Oreochromis niloticus: one gene and its partner. The protein of the gene in region 2 purifies or fractionates together with the protein of the main gene of each other region. This does not show direct contact. Links are inferred from orthologs where the notes say so. Each region holds a gene or a part of one and is shown on either strand. Other genes may lie near its edges.

Region 1 (7,081 bases), on a different chromosome or scaffold from region 2:
ATATAGTGTCATTTAGCCATGGTTGATGAGAAGTTCTGGGACGTTTCATCTTTATAGGGGCCACAGTATCTAAGATGGAACAACAGGTGGATAGCATAGCGTTGGCAAAATCATCAACCAGTGGAGGTGTGTAACAGTTAATATCAGTGAAATCAGGATCAAAAAAGGCAAAGTTTAGAAAGGTCGTAATGAAGTTAGCCACAGTCTCAGAATTAATGATACGTACAGGGCGATGACAGCCTTTAGAATTTAAATCAATTGCACATAGCTCAACATCAAACATGACCAAAAAATGGTCAGAAATACCAGCATTATCAATGTCCATAGTAGAAATATCCAACGCATATGAGAGGACCAAATCCAAAGTATGGCCTTTAAGATGAGTTGGTTCCCTGACCCACTGTGTAAGGTTAAAAGAGTCAATTAGGGCAAGAAAATCCTTGGGTAGGGGGTCATCAGCACAACAATTCTAGGGCATGTCCATCTTGGTTTCATGAAGTCTTTTTAGTTAACCAAAGAAAGAATTCTGCGATCATCCACTTCACTTATCTTCTGTGGTTTTCCAGCCCTTTTGGTGTTGCTGATCTGGTCAGAGCATTCTTTTCCTTCTTTTTTTTTTTTTTTGCACAGGATTTATTGTAATAGGCTGCACGCTGCCATCAGCCCCGGCTGTGTGCTTGGGGATAATTAGCAAAACTTGGCACACCTACATGCTGCACTGAAATAGTGAAGATTATTTAAAAAATGCAGTGGCTATGTCAGCATCATCACTGTGTGCATTTTAGCTTACACTGCATGTTGGCTTTATCTGACGGTGCCAGCCACCACCCAGATCCGGAAACCACCAGCAGTAGACATTTCACTTTCTCAGATGGAAGTGAAATGTCTACTGCTATTTGGATTCTTTGTTCACACATCTGGTGAATTATATTCTGTGCTTCGTAAAACTTTAATGGTTGGCACTTAACTTTAGAGCAGTGTACTCAGCAATGTTTCAGATTTCCAGTGTAACACATCTACACAGCCCCAGTACCAGCCAATAACAGTGCCTGCACCTTGTTCGCAGGAAATAGCTTTGGGCTGAGAAGGCATCTCAGTGGCCTTCAGTCTGTGTTCCACCCTTCCACCCTTCTCTCTCTCTCTCACTCTCTCTGCGCTTCTACACCACTCCACACCCTGCAACAGCTCTGCTGACCAAAACCACAGATCCCTGCAAATACCAGTTGTGTCTGTTGTGTACTTGTGTGAGTCCTTGTGTCTGTTTATTGCACATGTATGAAATGCTGCAGCTCTGGATGCCACAAGTCACCGACACCGAAGGTACATTTAGCTACGCTTTCATGTTTCACGAGCTCCTCATTTTCTCACCATTACATTGGATCACCAAGAGGCACCACTCTGACTGCTCCATTATCGCCGTCTTCCTCCAGAAAGCCTTTATTTTGCCGCATTTCCTCTCCTGCCTGCAACGTCTTGATTTCACATGTCTAACATCATCTCTTAAAAATATCTTGAAGTCACCAGGGATCAGACTGTAATCTCTGTGGCTCTCCACTTCAGAGGGGGGCTGACGGCAGACTGACGACCCCTGGAGACAGGAGCAAGAGTCACAGCCACAGTGGGAGAGGGGAAAGGAGGACACTATTGCTTCTCTTGCGGCTGCTGCTGAGTGGAGCAACATAAGGAATGCCTGATGAGCGCACGGGCCAAGGCAGGCGAGGGCACTGCCCCCGTCGTAATAACTGGATGATAGAGCGAGAGGGAGAGGATTGAATGGAGAGATAGAGGAGGGGAAGGCAGGATACAAGAGAGGCAGAAGGACAAAGGCAGTTGAGAGGAGTGGTAGATAAGGACAGACAGAGTCATACAAACAGTCATTGCAAGTAAGAGGGAGCGATATAAGAATAAGGGGAAAATGGCCTGGGGAAGAGACCCCATCGGCCTCCAGCATATTATCTCTTGCACTCAACAGTCCTGTTTAAAGTCAGGGCTGGGCAGCTGGACGATAGAAACCAATAAAACCTCTGAATGCTGAGTGCTGGATGGGTGATATTGAAATTCCTCAATGCATGCCAGAAGGACCTGGGATTGTTGAAAGGTTGATAACAGAATAAACTGCCAGCTCATGTTTAACAAGGAGAGCAAGTTTTTCCCAAAACGTCAGTCTTGAGACAAATGTAATGAACAAGCAGCAAAAACATTCAAGTAATGCATTGCATGTCAGTGGTTACATACTGCAAGCCTTCGAGTCTGCTTAGATGATGTTGTCCCTGCTTTGAAAACAATTTGCATCTAATTTGAAGAGGTTAGTACTGTAGAATAAGAGTGTGTGCAACAGGCTACAATGACCATTGAAGGATTAAATTGAAGATATAGGCCTTTTTGACTTGTTATAATGGCTTACTTGGGTACTTAGTTAGTTACTATTTTAATTTCATGTGTTTGTCCTGTGGTGACAAAGTAAAATGTATACCATGAAAAAAGAGCTGTTATTGCACTGAAAATTGTTTGTGTGTCTATTGAACTATCCCTCATTTATATTCATATTTTACAAGGAAATGGGAAATAGCTGCAGCAATTTATTGAAACGCATGCAGACATAACCAGAAGTAAAGTATATGAGACGAAAACTGAGTTTGTAAAATTCTAATGACTCTGAAAGTCAATATTTGGTATGACTGCCTTTTTCTTCAACAAAGCCAGAACTTAGGCAAGCTTTCTTGAAATAGCCTTCAGGAATCGCTCTCCCGACTTCTTGAAGGACATTCAAAGCTCTTCTTTGATCATGGTCATGCTGAAAAATGAAGCCTGCTGAATGAATGCTTTCCAGATGGTATTGCACAGTGGATCAAAATCTGGTGGTGCTTATCTGTGTTCACATTCAATTCATCAATTTTGACAGATGGTTGTAGATACTCTCTCCTGATCTTCTTCCTATATTCTGTTGCAGCTGATTTTCAGTTCGGTCCAGTCTTTTCTCCCTCTTTCCTGACGAGGCTTCGGTGAACAGTAGATGGATCAACAGCTATCAGACCTGTGTCAGACCTATGATTTTTACTTCCTATTTCTTAAGAACATGACTTTCAGATACTGTTCATCTGCTGATATGTTGGGTTTTTTTTTTTTTTTTGCTTTGTTTTGTTTTGTTTTTGGGCTTGGCACATCTTTTTTTCCTCCACTTGTCTAGTTTCATCCAAATCTTTAAGGACACAGTGCACAGCATGCTGAGATATGCCAAGTTTTCAGCTCATAGATCTTTGGGACTCATCTCATTGGTACAGAAATATTATTTCATGCCTGTCAAACTGTGTTATCTTTGGCATTTTTTGTAGATTCAACTAAAGAAATGGGAACAAATGATGTGCTTTTGTGACAGGCTGCTAGTAATAAAGTGCCTAAAGATACAATTTAATACAATTTGCCAAGTTGTCTGTTACGTGTAGAAAGACACTGGTTCATCGCTCGAGTTAGGTGTTTTATTGTGTTTAGTGAGTCATAGGTCAGTTAAGTGCTTCAAGAAACAAACAAACAAGCAAACATTCCCCTGAAAATGGTCAAGTAAAAGGACTAAACATGAGTGAAAAAGCAGCCATTGTCCAAAGAAAAACTTTAAATGACCTTCAGAAAGCCAAGACCTGCTCAAGACCACTTTGAAAAAGTATAAGAAAGTCTGGCTCTTTGGAAGCAAAATATAAACTAATGACAGGTGACTCTGGACTTTTGCGCAGTACCTTACCCTGTACCTTACCCTGTTTTCTGTTAATTCACATTCATCTGCAATTAATACTGAATTTGCAGGTATTTTAAATAGTCATGAAACATCAGCTCATAAAATATGTTTTTGCATGTTATTGAAATTGTAATCCACAAGACTCTGGGCTTACTTAAGTTTTTCTGCGCCATTTTGCCGATTATATTTATGTGCCTTCAGTTAATCAGCTCGCAGTGTTTCTGTATTGTAATACTTCACTGGAATCAAACGTGTTGGAAAACTCACCAACGAGCACACCTGAGCATTGTGGCCAATGCTCAGTTTACTGCAGTACCGAAGCAATCCACTAGGAGCGCTGTGCGTCAAGTATTTAACATAGAAGAAGAAAAGCGATACGTCATGGCGGCTGACAGTTTACGATGATTTAACGAAAACAGTAAAGACTCGTGCAAGTTGGATTTAAAGCGTTTAAACCGGACCCAGGAATAATAAAACTCCACCGACAAAATGCTAATAACTTTGAAGACCTTACAGCAGCAGACTTTCAAAATCGACATCGATGAAGAGGAGACGGTGAGAGTTAATAATCATGCATTTTGTGACAGGGGAGTGGAATGGGAGTTGAGTATGTCCTGAAATCGACATGATTTGTTTTGAACATTTCCAGTTTGGGCGTTTTGTAGGCAAGCCTGGGTAGTAACGTAAGATTCTTTTTGGATGCGTCTGACCTGCATTAGAAGTTCGGCTTAATCCAGATGCGTGTTATTTTTAAAAACCAATCAGGAAATTGTTTTTGTTGTCAGCATTTAGCCGTAGCCCACTTAAGGCTCCAAATGTGAGTGTTACGGGGGGGCGGGGTGGGGTTGACAGGTTAGCTTGAACCTTACCATTTTAGTGTTTCTCGGTCTTTTTCTGTTAGCTTGTAAAACTTATTATAATTGGAACATTTGGGTTAAGGTAAAACAAGAAAACGTTTGTGCCATTTAGAGAAAGTAGCGTTATTTAAAGTCATTAAAACATTTTGTACTTGTTATTAAGCTTGTATAAACTCTCTTTTGTCTTTGGCCAAATATATAAATCTGTGAGCTAGCGTTAGCTTTATCCGTCGGCTGCTGAAGGCCGGCTGGGTACAGCACATCTCATTACAACTTTCTTTAGTGCAGACACTTTTAACTTTTACTTTCGACTTCTTGTATGCATATTAGTCGCCAGATTATAGGTAGCGTTGCACTGCTTTTAAATGTATGGTTTTGCATAATCACCGATGACACCGCTGATGTTCGCTCAGCGTGTAGTTTTATAATTGTGCTAGCAGTTGGGTCACACTTTGGACTTTTACTCCTGTTAGCGTTGCAGGGCTGGACAAAATGGTTCCAGTAAAAAATGTTAATGGTTTTGTTGGTAAGGGATGAAAATATGAAGTAAAAGTGTATATGTTTATTTCACAGGTGAGGACATTGAAAGAGAGGATTGAGCAGGAAAAGGGGAAGGAAATTTTTTCAGTTGCCGGACAGAAACTGATTTATGCTGGTATGTTATATGCTCTTGTATCTTCTTAACTAATTTTCTTTCTTTCTTCAAGGAAATATTAATTTAAAAAAAAGAAGAATTTTATTCGTATAGCCCTTTTTAAGCACACAGTTACAAAGTGCTTCAAAGTTTGGATAAAATCACACATTAAAGATGAGTGTACATAATCAAACATGCAAACATTGGCTTACATTCAGTCCTACATACACACAACTCCAATACACGCATAATGAAACATGAGTGAACGATTAAGGAAACACTAACAGTCGTTTAAACAACACTGGTCCAGAGCTACAGCCTCAAAAGTATGATCACCTTGAGATTTAACATGAGGGCAGGGAACTGTTAAAAGACCCTGATCAGATTATCAGAGGTTGACTGCTGTTATAAGGTCTCAGTAGTGTTGCTATATATGCAGGAGCTGATGTTTTCTTTTTCTTTTTGAGTTGTAGGTTGTAGGCTAGGGCTTTTTTTTAGATTTACAGTTCAATGAAAGACGACCATTGCAGAGCCGCTGTTGAGACTGAAGTCCCAGTTTTTGTTGGTTTTTGCATCTATGCTTTTAAACCATTATTGGTATTTTAGGCTCTAGTCACACAGACGTAGAGCTGGGCGATATGACCCAAAATTCATATCTCGATATTTTTTAGCTGGATGGCGATATAAGATATATATCTCGATATTTTTTTAAAGCCATAAAGTAAGAACAAAAAGAGAGTTCTTAGTCAAAGCTGTGTCCCAGATGTCACACGGGCACTTTTATTAACATACAGCATAGATGTACATGAAAAAACACTACTCAAAAATAAATTATGAGCATTTATTAAATAATGATGCTCTATAAATAAAAGAAAACTATGTTGTTTTGTGCATAACAAAGAGCTCACTATTGTGCAGTCAAAATGTAAACTAAAAGACGCTGAGCATAATAACATAGACAGATTTCACAGCTGCTCTGTTCCCAACTTCTACTGCATGACTGACAGCCTGGAGTTTGAAATCCGCTTCGTAACCATGTCTCTGAACAGATGCCATTTATGGTCCTTATACACACACAATACGGTAATATTACGTTGAAGCACAGTACGTATTACTCCGCGAGGCTCCTCGGTAGCCGTAATGCTCCGACAATCCGTCAAGCGGTACAGCTCCGTAACTTACCAAAGTCGAACTAAAACATTTTTTGACAGATTGCTGAGCGCTGTGTATCACATAAAATCGGTTCGCGGTCATCAAGCACAACCAGAATTCATACAAAAGGCGCGCAGTCAACTTTTGAGAAAATGAAAGGATTTCAGGCCGTGCATGGCGTTAGCGTGGCTAGCTCGTTAACACGTTGACGCCGTCCAGCCCCACGCACGGGGCGACGCGCAGTAACTCATTAATGGAGATTTGCCGTGTCCATCTTGTCGCTGCCTGCAGGTGAAGCAATGGGGGAGGAGGGGGAGTTGTGTTCAGTGAAGGAGAGGCGAGGTCGAGTAACGTTGCGTAAAGACAAAAGTGGACGAAAGAGAGGCAAACTTGCGGCTCCGCAACTATAATTATAACGTAACATAGACTATATCAATATAAAGGATATTGTCACATCTTATATCTGGTATAAAAATAAATCGATATTTTTAAAAAACTCGATATATCGCCCAGCTCTACACAGACGTAATGACCAGTTAGCAACCTGCTGTCAGCGACCCACTGGTTATCACCTGTTGCTAGGGAAAATGTGCATTCCCCGACCAGCTGGCAAGTGGTTGCAGGATGTTACTGGCAGTGGCTATATGGAATTGGTCACAAAAAGGTATTCAGTGCTGCCCTGAGAACCTTTGAACTTTAGTCACTAAA
Region 2 (7,844 bases):
GGAAGAAGAGAAATAAGAAAAACTCCAAAGTTTCTAATTACATGATTAAAAAATAATAATAAAAAAAATCACAAGAAGAAATGTTGCAGGATAAGTGTGTTCTTTCAGAGGAAAAATGCTTTCAAAGAGCAGCTGTGGTCAGAGTGCAGAAAGAGTGAAGTCTTAGTCATTGTTTATCACTGGTTTATTATTACTAGAAAAAGCATCATGTTCTTGTGAAATGAGTGACCTGACTTGAGTCAGTAAGCTGGAATGAAAAGCTGTTGATTTTTTTCATTTTTAAGAAAATGTGTTGAAGAGTTACAGTGAGGCATGTAAAAAGAAGAGTAAATAAACAGGCTTATTTTTAATATCTAATAACCAGATGCACTCATTTGTCTATCCAGGTATGCTTTTACTGCATTTGCAGCGTGTTTGGCATCATTTTCCTGCTGAAACATGAAGTTGCTGCCAGTCAGATGTTTTCTAGATTGTATTGAATGGTGGATCAAAATCTGATGGTACTTTTCTTTATTCATAATTCCATCAATTTTGACAAGATCCCCATGACAGAGCCTCCACTGTGTTTTACTGGTGCCCTTGGTCCTCTGACCTCCTCCATGCATACTGATGATGATTTGACTCCATAAGGCATGTTGCCACTGATTTTCAGTTCAGTTCTTGTGTATTTTGGCATTTGTTTTTTTCTTATTTCTTAAGGGCATTTCAAATGCTTTAATCTGTTGTAGATATTTTTTTAGATGTTCAGCGTCTTCTTTGGTCCTTCGCCTTTCCAGTTTCCTCAGACTAATCAAACTGTGTTATCACTGCCATTTTAGAAATTTAGAAAGCCTGATGAGGGATGGCTCGAGACTTCTGCACAGAACTTATCTGGAAATGAGGCTTTTTTCAACAATATGTAAAAAGTGCAGAAAAATTGATGCAACTTTTCAAGGGTGATAACAGTGCAATTTCTTGTTTTGAACTTCGCTTTGGACTTCATGTTATTGCAGTTCACCTGGGTCTCCGTGTCTGTCTCTCTGGTCAAAGTGGGCTTCCTGACCCCGAGTCTCTCTTTTCATAGTTTGAAAAGGTCAGTAGACTGACTCCAGCATACACAACAAAAGTACTGTGGGAACTGTCCAAAGTGTTGAAATGTACGCAAGACGACGATGATCACAAATGTGACCTTGAATTTGCTGGGAGAGAAATGTTGGTGGTTGTGCTATAAGCATAAAAAGTAACAGTATCGTGTGTATTTTGTACATAACAGGTTTTAACTAAAAAACGCTTAAAGCTGTACTGTTCAGTTACACTGCAAAGACATGACGAAGCAAGTGCACCACTCACCTAATCAGTGTTCAGCCGGTCTAAAGGTCAAAGGCTGAAACCTCTGCATTGATTTTGGTCCAACTTTATAGTTTATTATCCATCAGTAAACAATCTCACACAAACTCAGCAGCTGAAGTTATTCCACTTGGATTTCAGTTAATGAACTCAATGGCATTTTAGGTTGACAGCACCTTTTAATTTGAGGAACAAGCGTGGGTGGATTAAAGGATTAGTCTGAAGTACTCATGAGCTTGTTGAAGTAGAGAGGAGTTTGAGTGTGAAAGTCATTTTTTGATCTCATAATGAAGTCAAATACTTCCAGACTTGCTATTTTAACAAAAGTGGGTCAGACAAATAAACTTTTGTGCTCTCTGTCATTTCTTTTTTTCCACTTAGATAAGAATCTATGACTCTGGAGAGAAGTCGGGACTGTTTTCCATGCGAATAGTGGGAATAAAGAAAGTGAAGTCTACACCCTGAGGTTTAAATATCCACCATTTACCCCACAACCTTTAAATACTTATAAGGAATTCTTAGGGGGAAAAAACTGAACTATTTTTCCCCTTTGAGCCCCTCTGACTGCTGTTAAATGATATTCTTGGATAATTGGTAGTAATGTATTTCCAATATGTATTTCTGTCTAGTTATCCATTAAAGATTAACTTCATTATCAAGCTACTGTTGTTTGGTTATTGACGTTTAGCCACGCCCACTAAAAGGATCAGCCAATACAAATGCGAATAGATCCCCCCCACCCTCCTCCTCTTCACACACACCCTTCCCGCTGATGACCGTGAGCAAGTTTCACCGGTTCACTCTCCGGCAATGGATTTACGATTCATGTAAATAAAACAGATCGGCGCAGCTTAAATTGCGCAAGGATGGCGGACGAGGAGTCACTGAAGGACACGCTACCGGACGAGGAGAGGGAGTTCCAGAACACTATAGCGAAAATTGGAGGTAGAGAGAGGATTTATTTGGTGAGTGATGTCTGCAGAAGTAAAGATTTGGACGGGGATGACGCCGAAATATTGCAGGAGTTCGTACGCGACATGTTTCACAACGGCAGCCTGGTGGCAAACGGCCATGGTGGCCCCCAGTCAAGTCCGGCAAGCGATCATGGCGGTAAAGCAAGTACAAACCACGTTTCCAGCGAGGCGGAGACTGGAAAGGGCAATGAAAATTCTCTAACAGCGAGGCCCAAGGACTTGGAATTGGGAGAGGACAGAGAGAAAAAGAGACGACCAGCGGGTAGTAGCAATGCTCAGAGGACAGCAACGAGGAGGGCGAACATCCACAGCCTGAAGCGAGCGATAGACTCCCCTGTCATCATATTCATCTTCAGACAGACTTTCATTGGCCGAGTTCCAAACGAGGTGTGCTTAAAAGAGATCCTCAAGGATGTAAAGGCACGCACGAAATGCGTTACAATCGCTCGGCCAGCTCTGATTGGATTAATCCGCACAACCGACGAGAACGCCGAGACGCGCCGGTGCGCCCAGCTTCTGGAGCGTCTGATCCGCTCGGTGTTCCACAAACATGCATCAGAGGCGATATGGGTCGGCTGCTTCATCCCGAAAACAGACACCCGAATGCTCAGCATCAAGAAAAACGTCTGCAGAGTTATACATTCATCTCAAGCAGCAGGTGTACACACATTCCACTTGTAGCAAAACCTCAGAAAAGCCTATTTATTTCATGCCGTGTTGGAAAAAAAAACAAACAAACATGATTTAGTGTGACCATCTGCCACAGCCGCACACACCCATGTCAGCAGGACACATGCTTGTAAACATGAAGTTTGAACCTTGGCACATTTAACCAGGCCAGTATAGGAAAATTGTACAATGTACAGCATATTAGATCACCAAGAGGCAAGCAGCATAATTTGTCCAAGATATAATATGTTAACTATTATACTGAAGCCTCCACTACTCATAATATGATTGTTGTATGCTCACCAAAGAGCACTACTTCAATTCAAGTCCATAAAGGACATACTTTAATGTACTTTAATGAGAGAGCTCACTCTGTTGTGTAGGCCACTTCATGACACTCACAAGACCACACTGCACACATTTTTCTTCCCAGGCATGGCTGCAAAGGCCAGGGAACAATGAGAGCATTCACAAAACGGTCACCCCCTTAGAAAAGCTGCCACATTGTTAAACGCTTATTATCGCCTTTCAGATAATACTAGGGGTGAAGGGAACCCAGTTTTCTGGCCATTGCAACGTTGGTTCAGCCACTGGAGAAGAGAAGACCGAGGTCCAAACAGCAAATCATCAAGCAGCGGGCAAAGAGGTAGCTGCAAAGTAACTTCAGCAGAGAAATGCCTGAACTGCACCACAGTCCTGCAGTCAGTTATTTTCACTGCAAGTTCACAAGTTGTCTTTTTTCAGGTGACGCTGAAAGTGCAGAAGAGGGCATCCCTCTGAAAACCCGTGCCTTGTCTACTGGACCAACTCTGAATGGAGAACCATCTGGAGGAGACGGCTAATGTAACCTGTGTGCTTTTTAGACTGTGAAAAGATAAGCCGGTCTCAGTGCTTTGCTAGTGTTACAATTTTTCTTTGTGATGCTCAGGGACCCATTTCTTATGAGCCAGCATGTTTCTTGTCATGTCAAAGCCACCCAAAGACTGTCAGGTTGGAAACATGCATTAGTTTGTTACGTGTTGAGAAAGCATTAGACGGCTTACAGCATAAGTACTCTTATAAAATGATACAGGACTTGATTACTGGCTCACTGTTTGTCAGGGGACTTCTGTATGTCAAATACAGGGAATTAAAGAACAAAATCAACTGACATGATAAAAGCCTTAAAATGTGAAATCTCACACAGTTTACCTGAATCCAGGTCACGTTCTCGCCAAGAAAAACTGCACTAATTTTCCGGAAAACTGTATTAATTGGATCACAGGGATCCTGGGTGTTTTACTTAAGAATTTATTTTTCATTTTCATTAGGATTTTGTGTCTTAGAGACAACTTTTAGGACCACCAATATTTGTAACAGGATTTATGTCACTTGTATTTATGTAGCCTACTGACTTATTCATCCCTTTAAATAAACGTCATTGGACTTGCCTGAGTGTTCAGCTTTGTTTTAAAACACATACTCCTTGACTATTCTTTCAATAAAGTAAAAACTGCTTGGGTGACAACTAGTGGTCATTGAAAGCTGTATTGTCATATCACTTTGCATGAAAAACACGCCGCCCTTGGCTTCCTCGACCTCAATTTAATTGCCAGATGTGCTTATTTGCTGTTTGTAAGCGACTTGCCTTGTCTTGACAGAAAGGTAGAAGAGCTGCTGGGCTGGCAGGTCGCTATTTGAGGTGCCAGTGTAAAAATCGGATACATTCAACTACAATTAGAAATTCCCCACATTTTTTCAAATATTATTTATGTTATATTTATGCTAATTAGTTATAAAACTGGTATATGTTGGTCCAACTGATGAGTCCAGCATGAATCTTATACATTTTTTTTACGTTTTTAATCAGGCATAGTAAAAGCCGGCCAACCCGAGGGTCCTTCAGACAGGGACTTGCGGTGTTGAACAAAAAGAAGTTAGCAGCGGCTGCGTTCAGTTCGGTGGTTAAACATATCCAAATATTGCAAATCTTTTCTTTAATTTCCCCCAAATCACACGAAATTTCGCCGTCAAACTAGGATAAGCGGGGCCGAGGAGGGACCGAAGAGCCAATCATGATAACATCTGCCGGTAAGTAGTTGAAGGTAGCTTTATTTTGTTAGCCGTTGCCATTGATTTAGCTGAGTCACACGGCTAATACTTGGCAGCCCACCATAGACCGTTGATCACATATAAAACCACTAAAGTAGTTATAGTAAGGAGAAACACATTTCATTGTGGATTTTCCCGTGCTTCCGAAACGGTTTTAATCACTGCAAGGCTGTTTAAATGGAGGAAGTGGAAATAAATTACAGTAATGGCAACGTTAGCAGTCAGCATGGATCGTTATAGATAAACATGTTCATTTTTGCTTTCATCTGAGACGTAATTTCCGAGGACGTTATGTGTTTGAATACATCCTAAATGCTGCTGTCATCGTGGTATTGCTAAAAACAATCTTCAAATTGCCGGATTTTGGGCTGACATTATATTTTATCCTCAATAGAAAACAATATTTTAGGCTTCTGTATCTCCCCAGGCTCCATTGTAATCTAATGTATTCTTAAAAGTTTTTGTCTTTGATTTGCAAATGTATTTAATATTTGAAATGACCGTTGGATGAACAGAAAAGTATTTGGATTTTATGAAGTAAACATCCATTTCATAATTTCTTTTGTTTTCTAGCTGGAATTATTTCTCTCCTTGATGAGGATGAGCCCCAGCTTAAGGTAAGAGTTGGCTGTAGGGTAGTCGATTGAATATACGGGTAACGAGAGATTTTAATGTCTTGTTATCTCACCACAAGAGATACAGTGACAGAGATAAAGTCTCTTGACTTTTGTAAATTGTCAGTGTGACCCATCAAGTTTTGCTTAGAGATCTCAGTGTTTTATTTCTCTACATGACATAAATGTAAACTCATTTGGGGTATGCAGTATTACATAAAAGTGAATAAAAAGATGAATGTTTAAACAACACGTCTGTTTTTCTTGCAGGAGTTTGCTCTGCACAAGCTAGATGCCATTGTGAATGACTTTTGGGCTGAGATTTCAGGATCCGTGGATAAGATGTAAGTAGCAAAGAGCTTATATTATAGTTATTACAGTACTGTAACATAAGTCAGCAGGAACTTAAGCTCATAGTTTATTTCTATGGGGTTAAAGATTTAACTGACTCTCCCTGTACACTGTTGTTGATACACTGACAACAGTATTTACTCTCCCTCAAAGCTCCCTCATAGTCCAGTAACAAATGCAAAACTGAATGATTTTGATCATCTCTGATCTGATCTACAATTTACACTCAATGGTGATTAGAAAAATGGCTCCTGCCAGTTTTGTTTTATGTAACTAGTTGTTGTCTCCTCACAGTGAAGTCCTATATGAGGATGAGTCTTTCCGGAGTAGAGAATTTGCAGCCTTGGTGGCCTCCAAGGTTTTCTACCATCTTGGAGCCTTTGAAGAGTCTCTAAATTATGCTCTTGGTGCGGGAGATCTTTTCAGTGTCACAGATGACTCAGAATATGTGGAGACCATCATTGGTGAGTGGGGGGGGGGGGAGAAACTTCTTCTTCTCTTCTTACCAGTGCAAAGTAAAGCAAAAATGTAATGTTAGACTTAAGGTTTATCCTCCATTGCTTTCTAATGAAAAGTATGTATGAAATAAATATATTAACCTACATAACTTGTTATCTTTGTTTGTTATTCGGATGCAGCCAAATGCATCGACCATTACACCAAGCTGCGGGTGGAGAATACTGAGCTCCCAGAGGGCGAAGAGAAGAAAACCATAGACCCCCGTCTCGAGGGCATTGTCAACAAAATGTTCCTGCGTTGCCTAGACGATCACAAGTATAAACAGGCCATTGGCATCGCCCTGGAAACAAGACGTCTGGACATGTTTGAGAAAACCATCTTAGAATCAGTCAGTGCAGTTCTCTGCTAACTTGAGATTATTTTGGATCTTTATAACAAGTTTTAATAAGATTTACACTTTGGTTACTGCTGTCGATTGTTCAAGGTTATTAACGTTTCATCTTAAGAATTTTTTTTTCTTTTCACTTCCCTTCCAGAATGATGTGAGTGGCCTCCTTGCCTACAGCTTGAAGGTGTGCATGTCCCTGATGCAGAACAAGAAGTTCCGTAACGACGTGCTGAGGGTGCTGGTCAAACTCTACATGAACCTGGAAAAACCCGATTTCATCAATGTCTGTCAGGTAACAAATGGATTGTTCTAACACCCTAGCCAAGGAAACTGGCGTGGGTGATCGTGATTTCACTTCTTTTTTTCCCCCCCTCCAATGTTTTATTCATTGATTTGTTGTTTGCGACAGCATACACAAACACAGAAAAGAAATAAAAGGCTTTCAGGCACGAAAACGTACAGAGGGAATTGAAGACAGTGCGACTCTCGAAGTTCTCAAACATGAAGAAAACCTGTCAAGAATATAACAAAAATATATAAAAAACATTTTTGCATCTAATGGGGCCGAGAAAAAAGTAAAGATCACAGCTTGTAAGAGATAATATGGTATTATTGAAGAAAAGGCCCTCATCTCCTATTAAATCTCCCCTGAATATCTGGTTTACACATGCATGATTCTTCCAGTTGTAGAGAAGATAACATCCTTAATCTAGTTTCGTAGAAGAGGTATTCCAATTTATACGTTTCTTGGCAAGCACAATTCCTTGATACAGATGAATCTGGATGCCAGGTGAAAACCCAAGGGTTTCTACGGAGCATCCAAAGATCGCCAAGTTATTGTTAGGTTTAATGTCTCTGGAGAAGGCTGCTGAAAGCCACTAAAATGATGTTATGAGAAATGAAAACTCCAAATGATAAGATCAAAATTTATATGTAATCACAATCCTCATGATTCAAAAGAGTTCACTTTAA

Evidence for each region. Proteins that work in one complex are often made in the same cells at the same time.
Region 1: the proteins of psmd1 (region 2) and rad23b fractionate together in Homo sapiens (co-fractionation; 4 studies listed by BioGRID and IntAct, with this or other methods). This does not show direct contact. The link is inferred for Oreochromis niloticus from reciprocal best matches to the Homo sapiens genes PSMD1 and RAD23B.

The regions. Positions count from the first base shown.
Region 1 is NC_031972.2:18,813,102-18,820,182, reverse strand, and holds the start of rad23b (UV excision repair protein RAD23 homolog B), read left to right. Parts: upstream 1-4,076; 5' UTR 4,077-4,219; coding exon 4,220-4,285; intron 4,286-4,435; exon of another isoform or gene 4,436-4,547; intron 4,548-5,160; coding exon 5,161-5,242; intron 5,243-7,081. UniProt on the Homo sapiens protein: Multiubiquitin chain receptor involved in modulation of proteasomal degradation. Binds to polyubiquitin chains.
Region 2 is NC_031980.2:35,588,556-35,596,399, reverse strand, and holds the start of psmd1 (26S proteasome non-ATPase regulatory subunit 1), read left to right. Parts: upstream 1-4,843; 5' UTR 4,844-5,023; coding exon 5,024-5,039; intron 5,040-5,633; coding exon 5,634-5,677; intron 5,678-5,944; coding exon 5,945-6,018; intron 6,019-6,319; coding exon 6,320-6,489; intron 6,490-6,663; coding exon 6,664-6,872; intron 6,873-7,020; coding exon 7,021-7,164; intron 7,165-7,844. Other genes in the region: uncharacterized protein C2orf72, read left to right, coding at 2,193-2,958, 3,502-3,615, 3,714-3,811.